3 linked regions of the Drosophila melanogaster genome follow. Changing the gene in region 1 together with any one later gene gives a genetic interaction. Each region holds a gene or a part of one and is shown on either strand. Other genes may lie near its edges.

Evidence for each region. Genes that interact genetically often act in the same process or in processes that back each other up.
Region 2: of Snoo (region 1) and babo, changing one suppresses a phenotype caused by changing the other (phenotypic suppression), as found in Drosophila melanogaster (2 studies listed by BioGRID).
Region 3: of Snoo (region 1) and Med, changing one suppresses a phenotype caused by changing the other (phenotypic suppression), as found in Drosophila melanogaster (2 studies listed by BioGRID).

Annotation. Positions count from the first base shown.
Region 1 is NT_033779.5:7,980,363-7,986,827, forward strand, and holds the start of Snoo (Sno oncogene), read right to left. Parts: upstream 3,835-6,465; 5' UTR 3,769-3,834; exon of another isoform or gene 3,584-3,768; intron 1-3,583. Other genes in the region: CG7231 (uncharacterized protein), read left to right, coding at 4,406-4,448, 5,191-5,406, 5,472-5,722, 5,777-6,343.
Region 2 is NT_033778.4:8,949,874-8,956,205, reverse strand, and holds the start of babo (baboon), read right to left. Parts: upstream 3,868-6,332; 5' UTR 3,235-3,867; coding exon 3,177-3,234; intron 3,104-3,176; coding exon 2,789-3,103; intron 1,473-2,788; coding exon 1,355-1,472; intron 1,248-1,354; coding exon 1,039-1,247; intron 494-1,038; coding exon of another isoform or gene 348-493; intron 1-347. Other genes in the region: Tom7 (translocase of outer membrane 7), read right to left, coding at 4,140-4,204, 4,314-4,413; CG8229 (uncharacterized protein), read left to right, coding at 5,619-6,332; CG33199 (uncharacterized protein), read left to right, coding at 5,450-5,500.
Region 3 is NT_033777.3:31,608,464-31,616,742, forward strand, and holds Med (medea), read left to right. Parts: upstream 1-2,582; 5' UTR 2,583-3,217; coding exon 3,218-3,281; intron 3,282-3,515; coding exon 3,516-3,784; intron 3,785-3,847; exon of another isoform or gene 3,848-3,870; coding exon 3,871-4,225; intron 4,226-4,423; coding exon 4,424-4,645; intron 4,646-4,796; coding exon 4,797-5,411; intron 5,412-5,471; coding exon 5,472-5,754; intron 5,755-5,815; coding exon 5,816-5,984; intron 5,985-6,040; coding exon 6,041-6,167; intron 6,168-6,226; coding exon 6,227-6,438; 3' UTR 6,439-6,912; downstream 6,913-8,279. Other genes in the region: Mnat9 (microtubule-associated Nat9), read right to left, coding at 6,938-7,540; CG1792 (uncharacterized protein), read left to right, coding at 7,939-8,058, 8,112-8,279.

The sequences.
Region 1 (6,465 bases):
GGTCACATAGTTACCCCTGATGGTATTAAACCAAATCCTATTAAAGTTAAAGCCATAGTTTCATACCCAATTCCGACAAAAGTAAAAGAGATAAGAGCTTTCCTTGGATTAACAGGTTATTATCGCAAATTTATTCCAAATTACGCAGACATAGCAAAACCCATGACCAGCTGCTTAAAAAAAGGAGCAAAGATAGATACACAAAAACTTGAGTACATAGAGGCATTCGAAAAACTTAAGGCTTTGATAATTCGTGACCCAATTTTACAATTACCTGATTTTGAAAAGAAATTTGTTTTAACCACAGATGCAAGTAACTTGGCCCTCGGGGCTGTCCTTTCTCAAAACGGTCATCCTATATCTTTTATTAGTAGAACACTTAACGATCACGAATTAAATTACAGTGCTATCGAAAAAGAATTACTTGCCATAGTTTGGGCCACAAAAACTTTTCGACATTATTTACTAGGACGACAATTTCTCATTGCCAGTGACCATCAACCTCTTAGATGGCTTCATAACTTAAAGGAACCGAATGCTAAGTTAGAAAGATGGAGAGTTAGATTAAGCGAATACCAATTTAAAATAGATTATATTAAAGGGAAAGAAAATTCAGTTGCCGATGCATTATCAAGAATTAAAATTGAAGAAAATCATCATAGTGAAGCTACTCAACATAGTGCAGAAGAGGACAATAGCAACCTTATTCATTTAACAGAAAAACCAATAAATTATTTCAAAAAACAAATAATCTTTATTAAATCCGATAAAAATAAAGTAGAGCATTCAAAAATATTCGGTAACTCCATTACCACAATTCAATATGATGTAATGACACTTGAAAAGGCCAAACAAATTTTACTCGATCACTTTATCCATAGAAACATTACCATTTATATTGAGAGCGATGTAGATTTTGAAATTATTCAAAGAGCACACATAGAAATTGTTAATACCACCTACACAAAAGTAATTCGCAGTCTTTTCCTATTAAAGAACGTTGGTTCATACGCCGAATTCAAAGAAATCATACTTCAATCACATGAAAAACTTTTACACCCTGGTATACAGAAAATGACAAAATTATTTAAAGAAAATCACTTCTTTCCAAATAGCCAACTATTAATTCAGAATATAATAAACGAATGCAACATATGCAATTTGGCCAAAACAGAACATAGAAACACCAAAATGCCTTTAAAAATCACACCCAACCCGGAACATTGCCGAGAAAAATTTGTAGTAGATATTTATTCATCTGAGGGAAAACATTACATCAGTTGCATTGATATTTATTCTAAATTCGCTACACTTGAGCAAATTAAAACTAAGGATTGGATAGAATGCAGAAACGCATTAATGCGCATTTTTAATCAACTAGGTAAACCCAAATTATTAAAGGCAGACAGAGACGGAGCTTTCTCCAGTTTAGCTTTAAAGCGATGGCTTGAAGAAGAAGAAGTCGAATTACAGCTCAATACAGCAAAAAACGGGGTAGCAGACGTCGAAAGATTACACAAAACAATAAATGAAAAAATTCGTATAATCAATTCATCTGATGATGAAGAAGTAAAATTAAGCAAGATAGAAACAATCCTCTACACATACAACCATAAAATTAAACATGACACTACTGGACAGACACCTGCTCAAATTTTCTTATACGCTGGGCATCCCATATTAGACACTCAAAAAATTAAAGAGAAGAAAATAGACAAAATAAATGAAGACAGACAGGAATTTAATATTGACACTAATTACAGAAAAGGTCCACTACAGAAAGGCAAATTAGAAAACCCATTTAAACCAACCAAAAATGTAGAACAGACAGACCCTGACCATTACAAAATCACTAATAGAAATAGAGTTACGCACTACTACAAAACACAATTCAAAAAACAAAAGAAAAATAATAAACTCTCAATTTCACAGGCACCTGGTACCCGATAACACTATTGTTTATACTGATCACAGCTGTTCATGGACAACAAATTCAAATTAATAATATTGACACCAACCACGGATACCTCCTTTTTTCTGATAAGCCAGTACAGATACCATCCTCCTTTGAACATCACTCCTTAAAAATCAATTTAACTGAAATAGACATCGTGGTTGACTATTTTGAGCAAAGACTACGAACCGATTACCATGCACCCCAGATCAATTTTTTATACAATAAAATAAAAAGAGAACTAGCCGGAATAACCCTGAAACATAGAAACAAACGGGGTCTTATTAACATTGTGGGTTCAGGTTTTAAATACCTATTTGGAACACTAGATGAAAATGATCGAGTCGAAATACAGAAAAAACTTGAAATCAACGTCCATAACTCAGTAAAATTACATGAACTCAACGACGCCATACGATTGATAAATGACGGAATACATAGAAGATTTGGAAATGGCTATGCAGCTTTCCAGACTTGGACTGTTTAACCCCAAATTACTAAACTACGACAAACTTGAAAATGTGAACAGCCAAAACATTTTGAACATTAAAACATCCACTTGGATTAACTACAATGATAACCAAGTATTAATCATATCCCACATACCCATTTACCTTTCACTAATAAGCACAATTAAAATAATTCCTTACCCAGACTCCAACGGCTATCAGCTAGATTACACAGACACACAATCATATTTTGAAAAAGAAAATAAAGTTTATAATACCGAAAATAAAGAAGTAAAAAATGAATGTGTCACCAATATTATTAAACACTTAAATCCAATTTGTAATTTTAAGCCAGTACACACGAACGAAATAATAAAATACATAGAACCAAACACAATTGTAACCTGGAACTTAACCCAAACAATTCTTAACCAAAATTGCCAAAATTCAATTAATAAAATAAAAATAGAAGGAAACAAAATGATAAGAGTAACGCAATGCAAAATAGAAATCAATAATATAATTTTAAGTGAAAATCTGTTAGAACCAGAAATAGATTTGACATCACTATACACACCACTTAATATAACAAAAATAAAAATTGTAAAACACAACGACATTGTTGAGATGATTTCAGAGAACAATATTACACTTTACATACAAATGATCATTGTAATAATCGCACTAATTTTGTTGTACTCATATTTAAGATATGTATCATTTAAACCATTTATGATGCTGTATGCAAAACTTAAAATAAGAAAAAATCAAAATCAAAACACACCACAACAAACAGAAATAGAAGAAACTCCATTTCCCACACTATATCCATCAATCCCAGCCCAAGTATAGGCTTCTCTTTAAGGGAAGGGGAGTGACGTATTTGGGTGGTCCAAACCAGCCACTTCCATTATTTCAAAGAAATCAGTAATGCACTCTAGTAATTTTCCATAACGTATCCCAGCTGCGCAGCATTCGTTTATCTTTGGCAGCGCAGCCGTTCTTGTAAACATCCTAAAGCCTGACCTAAGCAGATTTGACTGCCCTCTTTCAACGCTACCTAATCTTAAGAACCCAAGAGCGAGGCTCTCCCGAAATACAAATATTGTTCAAATACTGAGGCTTCTCCTCAATCCAATTTGCATTTGATTTTTAGTCTTAAGCTGAGATCCAAAGAATAAAGTCGTGAAACTATTTCTCCTAAAACTATTTTTTATTTCTTGGCGTTGTCCTTAGTCAACTGACGGGACATTAGTTCGACTCATAAATAAAACAACAATTTTACTATATATTTTCAATTTTTTTTTTCGCAAGCGTCGCACGTGCGAGCTTTTCCCCCGATATTTATATTCGCCACTCACACACACGCGCACCGAGAGCGACACGTCCGAACGGTTCCAGAGCCGTTAAATTTTCGAACTAAAACTGAGTGTCGGGGGTGTAGTGTGGCCAGTTCTTCTAGCGCTCGTTTCGGTAAAGTTTGTGCTCTCGCTTATTGGCCGCATTTCTTGTGTACCGCCGCATGGTCACTCTAGTGCCGCTCTTTGAACCGCTCTCTTACGTTTTCTCTTCTATTACTGCTGCTCATTTAACAGAAATGTTAAAATGCAACGCTTTTCTAACAGAGACCGCGGTCTAAACTTATTTAAATAACATTTTATCTTTTAATAAGCAAATAAATGTAAATCGTACTTAATGAAATATATGATTTTACAAGATGTGTGGTAATAATTTCCATAAAAACGTTTGTTTGTTCTTTCTTCTTTATAATGTAGTAACTAGTTTAACTAGTCCGCGAGTTCATCGGATAACGTGACCACTTAAAAGATTAGATTTTGGGATATGCGGATAGATTGTCACTACCAATTTACAATACTTAATCAATGTTTAATTAAATCAGCAAATGCTATCGATAAGCCAAACTGAAAAATTGCCATTTAGTTCGTTTCTAACCGTGGCGGTCCCAAGTTCATGATCAAGTGCCCTTAGACCTATAGAAAAAATGGACTCAAAAATTACCTTTCTACTTACAACGCTACTATTTGGTAATTCGTATTTTTGCACTTTTCAAAATCATTACATATCATCATTTTTTAATGTTTTTAACTCATGTACATACGACCCCTGGGTCGCTTGGAAACATTAGGATCCAGACAGTTTAGTTTTGACATAACTTAAAAAAACTAACAGGTATCTGATAGTCGATGCTCCTGTACTCAATTAAAACATTTAAATCTGACGAGTGTGTTGGGTAACATTACTTGATAATACATTTACACAATCGCAAAAAGGGGGTAAAACGTAAAATAGCAACATTTTGTTATTTTTTGTCAATAAGTTGTCATGTAAACTCTTAGAGCTAGGGTATATGAGCGTCGGTCTCTTGAAGTTAAGCACATTTCTCGCCATTCTCACTTCACGTCTGCTCTCTACGCTTGCGCCATTGCACAGCTGACAGATTGAAGAGAATTATTGATGTGCAGTTGCATTGCAGCATTCGGTGAAAGCGGAAGAAGGGCACAACGCGCTTTGCATTCCATAAAAATCGCATAACAAAGGGAGTTAATTAGAGTCCATTCGCGCACACATACATATGTACACGCTCATTGCGAAGTAAACAAATTCACATTGGATTGGATTGCATGTGTTTGCGTATCAATTCTCGCTGGTAGGGTGGTAAGGAAGGCAAATGGGCTTATCTACGCGTATCTGCCATATTATGCCCTCTGTGCGTCCCATTGTCCAATTGTGGAATATTAATGCCGTCTATTTCACGTCCACTCGCAGTGCTCGTGGCCAAAATCAATGGGTCTGCTCTGAACGCCAGCAATTATCAGTACCAAGTGGTGGTCGAGCAGACAGCGCCAGACGATTCCCAGATCGAATATATATTCCTCAAACAGTCGGATATGATGAAGGTATGGGGCACAAATCTCACTGCCATTACCTGGGCCCATGCCGTCAACAGCCAGCAATTGCTGGACGAGGTCCTAACCGAAACCAGTAAGATCATTGGCCAAATATGCGCGTGTAACCAACTTATCAATAGTATCATTTCCCTGCCCAAGGTGGCATTGACTTCATCGAAGCGGACATTGTGCTGGGCAAACTGAATGGCGATGGCGAGGACATGCCCATAATGGCCCATCCGCCGGCCAATGTCTCTGATCTTACGCTGTCGGAATTTCTCAACCAGATCATTAATTTCAACCGTGATCATGAGGACCAAAAAAAGGGCGTTAAGCTCGACTTCAAGTCGATCGAGGTATTCGAGGGTTCCCTGGACATTCTGGACGTGAATATTCCGAACGTAAGTTTGGTCATCGAATCTCAGATATCAGAACAAATTAAACAATATCTCTGTGTTGTGCAGCCTACCACGTATCCTGTGTGGATAAACGCCGATATTCTAAGTGGTCCCGTGGAACAGAATAGAACCGTACCCGTTGATGCGGACCGATTCTTCGCCGGCTGTATGCGCTACAAACAGGCAGTGCTCTCCATTGGCTGGACAACTAACTGGGGAGCCGACTTCCGGGATGGCGAGTACACGCAGCAGCAGTGTGATGACATGCTGGAAACGCTGAGCGAGAACAATGTCCTATCCACTGGCCAGGCCATAACCTTTCCCGTGCGCGCTGGCATTGCCGCCAACAGCGAGGAGCAACTGCATCGACTGGTGGCCGCGGTGAACGAGACAAACGAGAGCACCCTGACCATCTGGTCGTCTGCCGGTGACTATGTGGATGTGGATAAGTTGCGCAAACTGATCTTCAGCTTCGGCTTGGATAGAGTCTATCTGGATGTGCCGGAGGAGCTGGCCTCACAATTGAACCTGGACAATCCCGGCAACGGAGCCAGCACCTTCAAATCCCTGTTTGGCTTCAGTTTCATGAGCCTTTGTTTTTGGGCTCTGTCCAGCTGGATGCAGCGGTTATAATATACGTAATTAATATAAGTACGGTAATCAGAGCAATTTTTATACAACTTCCAGAAAACATAATTAAAACTTATACTTTTATGTGTTGACAGTTTTATTTTCGTTTAGGTGGAATTGTTGGA
Region 2 (6,332 bases), on another chromosome or scaffold:
GTGCCACGCGGAAAAGCAGGGAGAATAGAAAAAAGTGAAAGGTAAAGAAAAAGAAAAATAAAAAGAAAAGAAGAGGTGGGAGTCCGAGAAGCGAAAAAGTGCAAGTAGTCAAAGTAAATATGTAATAAGCTAAGGGGAAAACTGAGGCGGTGTGCACACCTGAGGGGAAACAGACTGAACTAAACCAAAAATTATTGTTACAGATTATTGAATTGTTATAATTAATCTATTAATCATATTGATGCAGTGCTAATTAGGCGCAGTGAATTAGAGAAGGAGTGCAAACTAAAGATAGAAATTGTATTGTTGTTGGTTGTGTGGTTTTTGTTACTTGAATGCGGCTGTACCTGTTTCAAATATCCTCTTCATAATCTCATTCTTATTGCAGAAATCACTCTTACAGCAATCAATCCTATACGTATCGAACCTTTCGTTACTGGTGAGGCATTCGAAGGGCTTACTCCGTTGCATATTGTACTTGACAACCATGCAACTGGGTCACCGTACAGCACAGTCCACAAATATGTGAACGAGCGGGGATAATGCGATAAGTTCGATATATTCATTCGAGTGGAGGAGCCGAAGGGAGCGAAGGAAATATCGGGAGATAGAGAAAATAAAATAACAATTATACGAAATTAGTATTGCTTGGCATTGGTTGTTGGTTGCTGCTGATGCTGCTACTGCTGCATCTGATTCTGATTTTGATTCTGATTCAGCTGTAGTTGTTGCCGCCTTCGGCTTGTTGCTAATTGAAGTGGCAGTCTGGTTAGTAGCAAGAAGAGTATTATAATTATATTGATTACAGTGTGTGTAACGCCGCTCTGGTTTTCAGCAGGTCATCATTAGTAGTGCTCTGCATTTGGGGTTATGATCATTTCAAAACTTCAACTCAACGAGCATAAGTGGGGGAAACAGTCCAAAGAACGATCAAAACTGGGCAACTGGTTGTTGAACGGCGTGCGAGTGAACAGAGAAATGGGAGCAGTCAGAGAGGAGGGGTTTTTGGGAGCGAAACACGTGCATAAGCGCACGCACCTTGGACGGAGATTTGCCGCCCTTCTTCGACACGATCACTCCTCTGGTCCTTCGTCTTTGGCCACAGAAATCGGTTGCAGAAGTCCCTGTCCTTGCAGCAGGCGTGGGCGCCATTGCGACCCACTGGGCGGGCGGTTGGTCCGCCGTGCAGCCCGTCGTTACACCAGATGGAGCGGCCCGGCGGAAAGATTTGAGACTTGTGCAGACATCTGCATCGCTCGATAGATCGATCGTATCAGACATATTCACACTGGCTGCTCTGAGGGGCAAGTGCTAACCTAATCAAAGGCCTGCTCCTCAGGCTCTCGGCACTCACCTGTAGCTGAAGATGATGCTCCCATCAGAGTTCTTCTCCACGGACGTGAAACAAAAGCCGTCCGTTTCACATATATTGTTCGATTCCTTGCACGTGTCACAGTGGCATTTTATCTTGTCTGCAGAACATAAAAGGTAAAATTAATATAAAGATCTATTTGCAAAAAACCAAACTTTAGAGTACTATCAAATCCATACATTCCTACCAAAAATTTGTTAACTTTAAACCGACTCACCAACAAAAACTTATTCTTCGCTTAACGATATATCTTCACTATTTGTAGGTGATCCTAACCAAGCACGTGTTTCTTGTAATATTTAATGAATATTAATTACTTGTGGAAAGGTAAGCAAAGGAAGAGGTCCGCGCCTCATTTGCCACGGTTAATGATTTTCTTATTATTTAAACAAATAAAACGCAAAAGCATAGGTTAGCAGTAGCAAACTTCTCGAATTAAGAAAATGCCCCGACTCCGATTGAAGCAAATCAATCAATTAGGCGCTGGCAGAAATTAACTAATTAGAGAAATAAGAGACCCATAAATCAACCACTCGCTGATTGGCATCTCCTGACCACAAATTGGGATTTGCCATAACCATGCCCCCGGGGCACCTGGCCGGGCACACGCTCGCCCAGACAGTCACATAGACATCCATAGCCACTACCATATCCACATCTACCGCCACCGACACCGCCGAGAGCGTGATGAAACAAAAACAAAACCATTTAGCATTAACAAAGCAGACGCGGAGAAGACAAGTGCAAAGTGGAGGGCCAGACAATGCGACCAGTTTCCCCTTCCCCCGGACAGCGAGAAGCCAGTGCCAGTGCTTAGGCCTGCTTTTTTTTGCACCGACTGCAGTTGCAAGTGCCCAAGTGCAGCAAGCAAATGCATCCAGACGTGGGGGTGTCTGCAGCCAGGCAGCGTTGGAGTGGGCCATGAGAGCTGTCTGGCTCAGCTCATTGACACCACGGAGAGGTGACGTCACTATATGGGAACGGAATCGGAGCCTCAGGCGCAGACGAAGACGGCCTTTTAGAAGCGTTCAGAGTCTTTGAGGTGTTACAGTCACGCGATATACACACGGAGAAAAGATCCCTATGGCATCGAAAAGATCGCCAAGTATTAAGTAACCCTTGGTAAGATATTTTAATTATTAAACAACAACAACAAAAATGTCAATATATCGGACAAGTAAGGTATAACCACTAAGCGGTTTCTATCTTCTCCCAATAATGGATTTCACCTTAAAAAAGGGAAGTAAAATGACCTTTACTCTGTGCTGACTTTCCTGGTTAACTGAAGTCAAGTAAAATGTTTGCAAGGCAATACCGGAACAAGTCTGTAAATCTATCACATTCTTGTTGTTTAGATAATTCGGGGTGCATTGTCCGCAGTGTGCTCTACACTCTCGTTAGGCAATCGGAACTTACTTTCTGGCTTTTTCGCGCTAGGCTGAGCAATGTAGATGGGCAGCTGGGGAGTAACAGCAGGGGCCACAGCTCCAGATGCGTCGCCGTCTTGCGGCAGCAGCATGGACACGGCGCTAGCGTTGTTGTTGTCGTGGCTTCTGTTATCAGCGGCCAGCGACGACGATGGCGACTGATAAGCATGTCCAGCTGTTCCAGCTGGAGCCCTGAGCGCCGGCGCTTTGGTCGTCGGTGGCCATTTGCCAGGGTGGGTTGCAGTCGCAGGATCAGATCGAGAGCCATTTAGGCTGGTGTCCATTACGAACTCAATGGGGGAGGCTGCACCGGGGGAGATTTTAGGTTAGTTTCGCACCTGATCCAGATTAATGGAACCGCTGGGGGGTACACTCACCGCAAACAGAGGCGCCGAGCAGAGCGCCCAGGAAGATTAGCCGGAGCGCAGATAACATGTTGGCTATTCGCACCGACGATAGTGTGTGCGACCCGACCCGAGCTATTGTTATTGTTTGTGCAGCCCGAGAGCTTTTCTTTTGTTTTCCACGATCGCACGCACGCACACGCGCGTCGCAAGTTCAAAGTCTGTGGCCTGCAAATGAGATTGTTGTTTCGCGGCAGGACGAGGCGGGGCCGCAGGAGCAGGAGGAGCGGCAGGAGGACACCTCAGACAGCCACTAATTGGCCCCGAACTGCGCATTTATCGCGTAGGACAGGCGCCCGCGAATTCCCACATTTGGCGGGGGCATGGCCGGGAATATAGACTGGCGATTCTCACAATTAGCGAATCTCGATGGGGGCCCGCAATGCGAAACTCGAACTCCACACTCCGCACAAGTTGGTTGGAAAAACTGCTCTGCTCTGCTTTACATTTCACGGACGAGGGCGACTTTTCAGGCGGATTTTCATCACGTGATTGGGGCAGTGGCGCGGGGGAAGTGGCACTATTTCATATTCCGCGGGACAGCCGGCACTTTCGGGTGTCTGGGGCAACCGTTTGTTTATATTAATTGCTGCTATTTTTTCTTAAATGTACAATTTTGTGCAGCGAAAAACCGCGCTGGTGTGTGTGGATTTGCAAACAGTGTGACCGCACCTGCAGTAGTGTGCCCAGGCTGGACTGCCCATGAAAAACACCCACCCGCTAGAGAAGTGCGTAAAAATGCCCAATCGGTTATGTTTTTATGGACAATGATTTTTGTTAAAATATTGGTTGTTTCCAGGATACATAAAAAAATTTCGATTTGTTTTGTAACAGATATTTATTTGCAATAGCTGCAGGTACTGCACCCGTTCCCAGAAACCCAACCAGAACCAAAATGCGGGGCATACGACAGCAAAATGATCATGTCCACTATTTTTACTGCCATAACAGACTGAAAAGGTTCAGAGGCGGCATGCCAGGCTCAGCTCCCTTCATAAATCCTGCGAAAATGAGAATTGGTCAAAATCAATGTCGGTCCATTTGATATTACCCCGCTGCTTCTTCTTCCCAGCCGCGTGTAGATTACAAAAAACATGAACCACAACTTACCCAAATACAGCACAAGAGGCACGAATCCCCAGTGGAATCCAGTCTGGACGACTCCAACCACAAATCCCAAACGATCCTTAACTCCCTCGGATAGCTTCATTTCGTACGGATATTGAATTTAGCTCCTTTTGCGAATTATGAAATGATAACTTGTCTGACTGCAAACGAAGTGTTGGAAAACAGCACTTTTTTCGATATAAAACAGCTGACAGAAACTTTTTGTTAGGTTACTCGTTCAATTTATATTTTCTTGGGATGGCTTTGTCGCAGGTTGCTGGGCCTGAAATAATTTACCAATTTAAAGAATCAGTAAAATTATTTCGAATACAGATTTCTGTTGGTGTGGCAACATTGACATTTGAGCGCAAAATTTAAATTCGCTTCTAAAACGGTCACACCGTTTTGCCCTTTGGGTTTTAATCTGATATTCTTTAATTTATATTTTCCACTATAAAGGTTTTTAACTACCATTTCACCGACAAGTTGTCTATTGGACACATATCATGAAAAGAAAAAAGTGTGCTTGGTCTGAAAAATACCTTTTCGTATTTTTAATGATCCCGCAATATTTTTGCATGTGTACTCCCATCAACTTTAAAGATGTTACATTTCCAAAGTTTCAAATTCTGAAAGCGTTGGAAATGCAACAAGAATTTGAAGTAAGGAAACTTCTTTTTAACGCTCAAAGTTTTCGTTGATTTCTTAACAATATGAAGCATAAAAATAAAAAATACCCCTGCTATCTCTCGCAGCAGGCAAGTGCTCCGTAGATCGATACTATCGCAGCCACTCGAAGTCCCATCTCTAATCTCGAGTCCCTTTCGCACTTGCCCGCTACTCACATGAGTTCTAGATCGTTTAGTTTTCTTGGTTTTCATTTGCTCGCCAAATTTTAGCAACGTTGCTGGTTTAATCGGCTGCACCTGCAATCGCGGTTAATCAGAGAGCGCCGAGCACTAAAGTTCCCATTGCCAAACGAAACGTAAGTGATAAAGAACGCCAGCAATGAGCGAACAAGAGCAAAGCGCACGCAGTCGGGGAAAAATCAATTGATGTTATGTAAGCTCGAATAACCGGATACCGTGTCTACTACTGTTGCAGGTCCCGATTTGCTCGATTTGGAACTGGAACGGACCATGAAAACAAGCAATCTCGGCCTGTACGCTTTCCGTTTAACCTTCGGTCAGGTGAGCACACGCACATTAAACCAGGCAGCCAAACGGCAGAAACAGCATGCGCATTCTGGGGGAAACCTCTGAGTTTTTCGGCCGGGCAAACCAAGGACCACCACAATCGTCGTTGAGAATGCAGCGACTGCAGCCGGGAGACGAGTGTCTGGAGTGCCAGAGTGAAGGCAGGAATCACAAGCTGCGCTACTTTTACATTAATCTCGAGGAGCAGCTGCTGAAGTGCGAGTCCAGGAGCTGTTTGTGGCCACACAACGATGAGGTCTCCTCTGATGAAGATCTGAACTCGGAGGCAGCACTTCCCATCACTGCTCCACAATCTGAACTTTTTGAATCTCCTGCTGCTACGCTACCTTCTCACCCTGCGGCCTTAACGTCCAAACCTCCTCCAAATGATGACGAATTTATATTGGAACTGCTGCAGCAATTGACTTCTGCCACAGAAACCCCCCTTAAGACAAATGTGAGTTCCAGTTCCATGCCAAATCTGCACTCGCCTTCAGAGGAAAAACCCTGCCCACAACTGGAGCTTCCCGACTTAAGCTTTCTGGAGGAGAACAGTACCGTATGCAAGGAACCCCCACAAGCATTGAAATCAGAGCTGGGAGTACCTTCAACTGTCGTCTTACCCGACAGATTAATAAGTCCGCCCAAGGCAAAAGCAGTACAAACTGAGGACACCAAAGCCAAGGAACATGTGGCTCATCTGAAGGGAGCTACGTCCCAAAGCTGGCAAGGCAAAGCTGAAATACCATTACTACCCGCTTGTGTGAAGGCAAGTGTGAGGATGTCTCCTAGCATCAAATCTAAGGGGTCTCCCTTCAGCAGTCCG
Region 3 (8,279 bases), on another chromosome or scaffold:
TGCGCTGAAGGTGAAATCAGGAGAAACGGGGTACAAAACGGAATGTAATAGCAGTTGTTACTTGTGTTTTCCAGAAACAAGTTGCTTCCTAAAATGAGCAAAAGTGTTTTTGAAACGAAAACAAGTAGTTTTATCCGTCGCACATATTTTATTTTTGGCTGACGCAATTCCAAGCCAGAGCACGCACACTCCCAAACCAATCAAGTTGCTGTGCTGGTGTGAGTGTGTGTATGAGGTAAAAATCCGAATGGGAACAACATACACACATACAAAGTCTTTGTTTGCAGCTCGCGTGTGTGTACGATGGCAAGGGAACTTTGGAAGCGGAACACACAAATTGTGGGGAGAACAACAAAGGAAAAGGGGAATATGAAGTAAAACAATTGACGCAAATTGGAAATAAAACAGATATGCAAATGGGGGAAGGCAATAGGAATGGGTTTTCTAGGCGAATAAGGCGGTGCCAAGGAAACAAAGGCGTACATTAGTCTCATTACATATGTATGTTGTACAGCTTGCATAAAAAGCACAGCCCCTCAAACACACATACCACTGCAAGCAGCATAGTTCCTCGCCCACCCCTCGTTCGACCCTCTCGCTCACTCTGTAAGCAACGACCTACGAATAGCGGACCCCAAATCCACTCTCTCGCTTACACACACAAACACCAGACAAACAGCTGTGAAACAAATGGAAGCGAAACAAACACGTAAATGAACGAATTTTGTATGTATGCCTAATATAATTTCTTTTTTCCTACAAACAAAATCATCTGATAGATGAAGAAAAAAACCTTGATTCTCTTTTTGCATTTTATCGACTTTTCCACTCTTAAATAAATTTAGCATTTTCTTACGTTTTTACAGCCATTTTGTTGTTTTGTGTTGCGCAGGAATGTTGAGATGAACTTTGTTTAGTTGTGAATTTTTGCTTCTATTGCACTCGAAAATAAGTGAATAAATTGGCTGGCAGCTTTACGCTTATTCAATTGCGTCAGATAGTTAGCTATAAAACCTTGTCGTTGGCCATTTAAGCTAGTTGTTAACTAATTTGTACTGCGTTTGTATCACAATTGGAACTCTGTTTATTAGGCTGGCATTTTATCCTCAATTTTTCCCGTCTGCGGATCGATTTTTCCCACACACACTGGGCTGAAGGTGCTTGGGACTTTTCTCCATCAGCTGTGCATTTTCCTCCTGCTGATTTTTTTTAGTTCTGCTTTAGCAAAGCTTTGTACGTTTGCACTTGGTCCTTTTCAATTTCTATTTTCTATTCCTAAGCAAACAAACACATTCAAACACTCGCGCTCGCAAAAACGGTACTTCTCCGCTTTGTTGTTTTTTTACGAATGAAGAATATTGTGAGCGACCAGTGTTACCAGTAGGCCTACAAGTTCCACAGATTTGGTGCGAACTGAAATTTGTACTATAAAATACCCTAAGCCAGCGGAAGCGATAGTCCCTCACTATCGATGTGTATGTTATTCGATTCTCTCTGTTAACTAACATTTCGCTGTAATGTTATCGAACCCTAATAAGCCCGCAATAATTCTTTTTTGATGTCGAACAATTTTGAACACCGAACTCAAATAAGCCCGCAATAATTCTTTTTGGTGTCGAACAATTTTCAACACCGTAAGCCTGATAGGGATTAAATAATAACTTTATGCTTCTGAATGCGGGATGTAGACAATTTTATGACAAGTGATTTAATTAGTTAGGGAATTAAAAAATATGAGGGCAACAAATCCTCGAAGTTAAATTGAGTTCCCAAATTACTATTACAAATGGAAGCTTCTGTTTTGGCAGGGAATCGCAAACTTCCCACACATAATTTCACAATCAATGTCATTGCCAAAATATAAACATATTTACATATGTACGCCGCAAATCGAAATTCCGTTCAGATAAGCGTTGAAATTACGCATTTTGATAAGATATTTTGAAGATGGAAACTACGCAGCAAACTGTTTTACAAAAGCCGGAGAAATGCATTTCCGGCGAAAAGGAAATTCGTTACTGTTGCCAAGTGAACATTTTCAAGAGAAGAGGGGAAGGGGGTGGTCTATTTCAGGCCCCACTACACACACATGCATATTTCTAGAAACAACCTGTCACACAAACGACTCATCAACGGCAATTTTTTATGAATGAATTTTAGCAATTAAAGCAATGGAAAGAAACTTTTCAATGGGAATGCGAAAACATCAATTAACTTGTTGCACAAGATGTTCAGCCTTCGATTTTCCCCAATCTCAACGATAAGAAACTTTCCTCAATTTCGTCACACACACACACACATGCGAATGGGAAAAAACGCGTGGCGATTGATTTTCGGCCTTTCAAAAAGTTCGTTTTACGCACTGAACAGCCCGCGAAATGAGTGTAAGTCGGTGTAACAAATCTCATGGCACTTACCCGGATGCCTCTGCGTTTTGATCAGTATCTGCTTTTCTTGCTTCTTATTTCCAAAAAATATAAACTTATTCTCAAATCAAATCTTCGAGAACTGACCAAACTAGGTGTTTGTAAAAATCCAAGGTAGGTATTTCGCGCTTTGCCCATCTGGCAACGCCCGCCCATGTTGTATCGCGAAACGGTCACTCTGCACAGCCGCAACAAAATAAAAAAGGAAAAAAAGGCAAATTGGCTGGAAAACTGGATTTCGTCGGGCGGAAAATTGTACTTTCGAGTTTCCCAAGCAGCCAATTAAGTGCAAACTATGAAATTCCACGAAAAACAGTAAAAGCCAGTCTCTACCAAGGATTTGAGCAGGAAACTTCTCGCTGGGCGTGTGTGTGTGCAGTGCGTGTGCCAGTGTGCGTAAAGAAGGAGGTGGAGAAGACGAAGGAGAGGAGAGTTTTCGCAGGGAAATTACGCCAACTTTGTGGGAGTTCAAGTCGAGTTAGTTCAGCGCGCGCGTGTGTGTGTGTATGCGTGTGTGCAACACCCCCCAAGCCCACTCACACAAAGCCATCCAGCCGCCGTTTGTTTTGTGCTCACATTCGCGTGCCGCCTTTGTTTGGCTTTTCTTTGGCCAGTGATTCTACGCCTTGTTTTTGCCCGCCGCCGGCTTCGATTACGCCTGCTCCAGCCACCGTACGATCCCCACTCCGCTCTCCGCCGCTCACGATCCCCATTCCGGATCCGGATCCAGCAACAACGCCGCCGTGGATGCCCATGCTCGCACTCTGGGCTCGCTCGCCCAGGACTTTGGCATGGGCGGCGGCTCGGGGGCGTGTCCGCCCGCCCACATGTACGGCGCCGTAGCCCCGCAGGACAGTAAGTGAAGTTCTCTAGAGGAGCAGCAGTCATAGTGAACTCCTTTTCGAGTTGTTATTCTAAAATCGATTTGTGGCCAAGTATTGTGGACAATCCTAAATCTTACCGTAGCATTATTATTTACTGTTGATAAACTTGAAACTCTTTGAAATTTAAAATGAAATTGGATTGAGCTGTACAGTATCCGTTGATCTACTAAAAAAACTCAGAGCTAATTACCCCCACCATCTGCAGTAATTGTCCGGGACATGGTGCAAATGCCGCCGCCGCCCTCGAACGCCCCCACATCGGCGGACGCCTGTCTGAGCATCGTCCACTCGCTGATGTGCCATCGGCAGGGCGGCGAAAGCGAGGGATTTGCCAAGCGAGCCATCGAGTCGCTGGTCAAAAAGCTCAAGGAGAAGCGCGACGAACTGGACTCCTTGATCACGGCCATCACCACGAACGGAGCCCATCCCAGCAAGTGCGTGACCATACAGCGCACCCTCGATGGTCGCTTGCAGGTAGGTTGAGTCTCTCAGACTTTCTGCATCGAATTTGATAATGTGTATAAGCAATGAACTTACCACTTTACCATTCTCTATCGAAGGTTGCTGGACGCAAGGGTTTTCCGCACGTCATATACGCCCGGATTTGGCGCTGGCCTGACCTGCACAAGAACGAGCTGAAGCACGTCAAGTACTGCGCCTTCGCCTTCGATCTCAAGTGCGACTCGGTGTGCGTGAATCCCTACCACTACGAGCGCGTCGTCTCTCCGGGCATCGATCTGTCCGGCCTGAGTCTGCAGTCGGGCCCCAGTCGCCTGGTGAAGGACGAATACTCAGCGGGTCCGCTGGTGGGCAGCATGGACATCGATGGCAACGACATCGGCACCATACAGCACCATCCCACGCAAATGGTGGGGCCCGGCGGCTACGGATATCCACAGGGTCCCTCTGAATATGGTAAGACTACAGTATTGACATTAATTCGATATAGTTTGAGTTTTCGATACTGGATTTCTTGATAATTTTTCTATATTATTTATAATTTTAAACTGAATTGTTCATTTTACTTAATTGTTTACATTCGTTTATTTCTTTGGTTTTAATAATTTATTTATATTTGTTTCCTTTTGGCGATTTTATGTTGACTTTGCGTAGTTGGCGATGCCAATCCCATGAGTGCAATGTTTCCCACCGGGCGCACAATACCAAAAATCGAGCCCCAGGATGGAGTTGCTGGGTCGCGTGGCTCTTGGATGGTACCGCCTCCCCCCCGGCTGGGTCAGCCCCCGCAGCAACAACAGCAGCAGCCGCAGCAGCAAACCCCGCAACCTACACAGCAGCAGCAGGCACAATCGCAGGCAGCTGCTCACTCACTCCGTAAGGATATGGCCTTGATTATAGTTGAAGCTTCGAAAATCGAATTTTAATTACAATTTTTCTCATATGTTGGATTTTAAACTATTATAATATTTGTCTTATTAACAATTAGTTGAATACACATTAATCTTTTCCCAAAATCAACTTTCAGCTGTGCCTCACGGTATGCCGGGCATGCCTGGTCCAATGAATCCCGGTCCCGTGATGGCACCCCCACCCCCGCCGCAGCAGGCTCAGAATCCCCAGGGCAATGGGGTGCACCATACCCAGGCCAATTCGCCCACAGATCCCGCCTCCGCACTGGCCATGCAACAACAGCAGCAGCAGCAGCAGCAGCAACAACAACAGCAGCAGCAGCAACAGCAGCAATCAGGCGGTGTGCCCAATGGATCAGTTAATGCCGGCGGTGGAGCAGCAGCTGGAGGGCAGTACTATGGACAGCCACCTCCTGTTAGTCAGATGCAAGGTGCCGGTGGGGGTGGCACCTCGGTGGCCCCGTCCGTCCACGCCCAGCAAAACGGCTACGTGTCGCAGCCAGGATCCGCGGGCAGTGCTCCCGTTGGAGGTGGTGGCGTCTTTGGCACAGCCCAACCCACACCACAGCAGCCGCAGCAGCCACCGACCGGTGTGCAGGCCAATACTGGGTCTGCTGGGGCTCAGGCTGGCGCCGGAGGCGGTGCGGCTGGCACCTGGACAGGGCCCAACACCCTCACCTACACGCAGTCTATGCAACCACCAGATCCGCGCTCTCTACCCGGGGGCTTCTGTAAGTCTAGGCTATGTAGCCCACTGTGCGACTTTGTAATCCCTGTCCTTCATTTTCCAGGGAATTCGTCGCTTTCGGGTGACCTCGGCTCCCCGCAACAGACGCCTCCGCAGCAGCAACAACAACAGCAGCAACCACGCCTCCTGTCTCGCCAACCGCCGCCGGAATACTGGTGCTCCATCGCATACTTCGAGTTGGACACGCAAGTGGGCGAGACCTTCAAGGTGCCGTCAGCGAAACCGAACGTAATCATCGACGGCTATGTGGATCCCTCTGGAGGCAATCGATTCTGTCTGGGCGCCTTGAGCAATGTTCATCGCACTGAACAATCGGAACGGGCCAGGTGAGTACATCCCCCTGGGAGTAACTTGCAGAGCAGGGATTAATTACCAAGTTCCATGCAGGCTCCACATCGGCAAGGGCGTGCAATTGGATCTGCGTGGGGAGGGCGACGTCTGGCTGCGCTGTCTTAGTGACAATTCAGTTTTCGTACAAAGCTATTATCTGGATCGCGAGGCAGGACGCACACCTGGCGATGCTGTGCACAAGATTTATCCGGCCGCGTGCATAAAGGTTGGTGCAATCAAGAGAGTTTAATGTGATAGCTTAACATACATTTTCTCATGCAGGTGTTTGACCTGCGCCAGTGCCACCAGCAGATGCACTCGCTGGCGACCAATGCGCAGGCAGCGGCCGCTGCTCAGGCGGCAGCCGTGGCCGGAGTGGCCAATCAGCAAATGGGCGGCGGCGGAAGGAGTAAGTAGATGGAATCAGTTTGATTTAGGGAAAACTAATGTGTTGATGCGGTATTCCAGGCATGACAGCAGCGGCTGGAATTGGCGTGGACGATCTGCGCCGGTTATGCATCCTGCGCCTGAGCTTCGTCAAGGGCTGGGGACCTGACTACCCACGCCAGTCCATCAAAGAAACGCCCTGCTGGATCGAGGTGCACCTGCATCGCGCCCTGCAGCTGCTGGACGAAGTGCTGCACGCCATGCCGATCGATGGCCCGCGTGCCGCCGCCTAATCCGTATTTATTATTGGCCCACATCTATGCTAAGGACTCAGTTTTAGCGGCAGCTATCCGTCAGCTATTTGCGGATTTTGTGTTTTTCATTTGCAATTCTGATTACGATTATGTTTGCCTTTGATTATTTGATAATAATTTTTATAAAAAATTGAAACAACTTAGAAGTCTTAAGTATGCAGCTGTAAAGCACTAAGCATCTAGTTTTATGTACTATACTTAAATATACGCCCACACAACACCGGAGATACTGAACAAGCGGCCAATGTTTGTTGTCCATTTCCTGCCACGAAAATTACAAATTAAAAAAAAAAAAAACGAGAAGCATACACAGCATTACAATCATCCAAGCCACAGGGCGAAACAAAAAGAGACATCGATGCACCCATAAATACATTCATTTGATGTAAAATGCAGCATAAATAAGGCAAGCGAAACAAGTAGATGTAACATAAGTGTAATAAACAGACCGTGAAATTACGATTCTAAAGGCTTCTTTTCACTGATAGCACTGCATACGCAGATCCACCTGCTGGTCCAGCCAGTTGATCCAATCTGGAGTGATAGGTCGCTCCAGGGTGACCTCGTGGAAGATCTCCACTCGACGCGTCTCCACGAACATAAAACTCTTAAACAAATGCAGCGATGCAGCGTTGTCCATGTCGATCTTGACCTCGAATTTATCCAATTTAAGCTGGGGCTGCGATTGGGCGTACTTGAGCATGAGGAGCATGGCTTCCCTGCCGAATCCCTTGCCCCGTGCATAAGGTTCGGCAATCATGATTTCCGCCTCCGCCGTTGGTATCTGGCTATCGGGATCTTGGTGCAGGAAGAGATTGGTGTCGCCCACCATGGCGGCAATCTCATCCTGATCACGCGAATAAGTCTCTGCATCCAGGACAATGAAGGTCAGCTTGTCGCTGTCCTCCCTCCAACTCCTTTGCATCTCGTGCTCCTCTTCTAAGGTCAGTTCCTCGGATGCGGTCAACTCCCTCAGGGTCTCGTTGCTCATCCACTCGTGGTACTTGGGCACGTGGCGCGCTTCGTAGGGCACAAGGATGACCCTGTGACCCAGTATTTTGGTGTTCTCGTTTAGATGCATCCTTAAATTTGGAAAAACTTAGGAATATTCTACAATCTGGAAATATTTGTTATTGTAAGCTTGTTTACATCAATCAGCTGCTCAAGCTATATAGTGGCCACCTGAATCTACACTGTAAGGAATTCTCTTTGCGTAAGCACTGCAAATAAGGTAATATTTTTGAAATGAACTCTTAAATCGAATGGAGAAAAGCGAGTAATCAAATAAAGTAATATCAAATAATCAATCGAATTAAAAATTAAGATCTGTTCAGGAATCCCCCTTACGATGTTGTGGCAGCGGTGCCACATCTTCTTAGCTATAACAGTCTGGCATTGCCAAAGGAGCAACAATATGAAAAGCAGAGCAATTTTCTGATTAATTTTTTCTTAAGTGTTACTAAATAAATAAGTTTAAAAATGCCGAATCGTAATTGCCGGACTTGCGGCCTGTTCATTTTCTGTTCGACGCCCAGTAACCTCTTCGAGGAGCCCAATTCCGTAATGCTGCACCAGATCGAGGTTCTTACTGGTTTGTTTGTGAGTACCTTTCTATTTTTGTGTTTTCAAACTTAAGTCTGGATTATCCGTAGTTGCTCGGCGGACCCGGGAACGAGCTGCCCCCCTTTATTTGCTCACCCTGCGAATTGGACCTGCAGACGGCGATTGCTTTCCGGGAACGTGTGATTCGAACCCAAAAAACGCTGCAGGAAAGTCCCAACCTGGGGAACGCGGAATTGATCGAATCCTTCGCAGTTGGT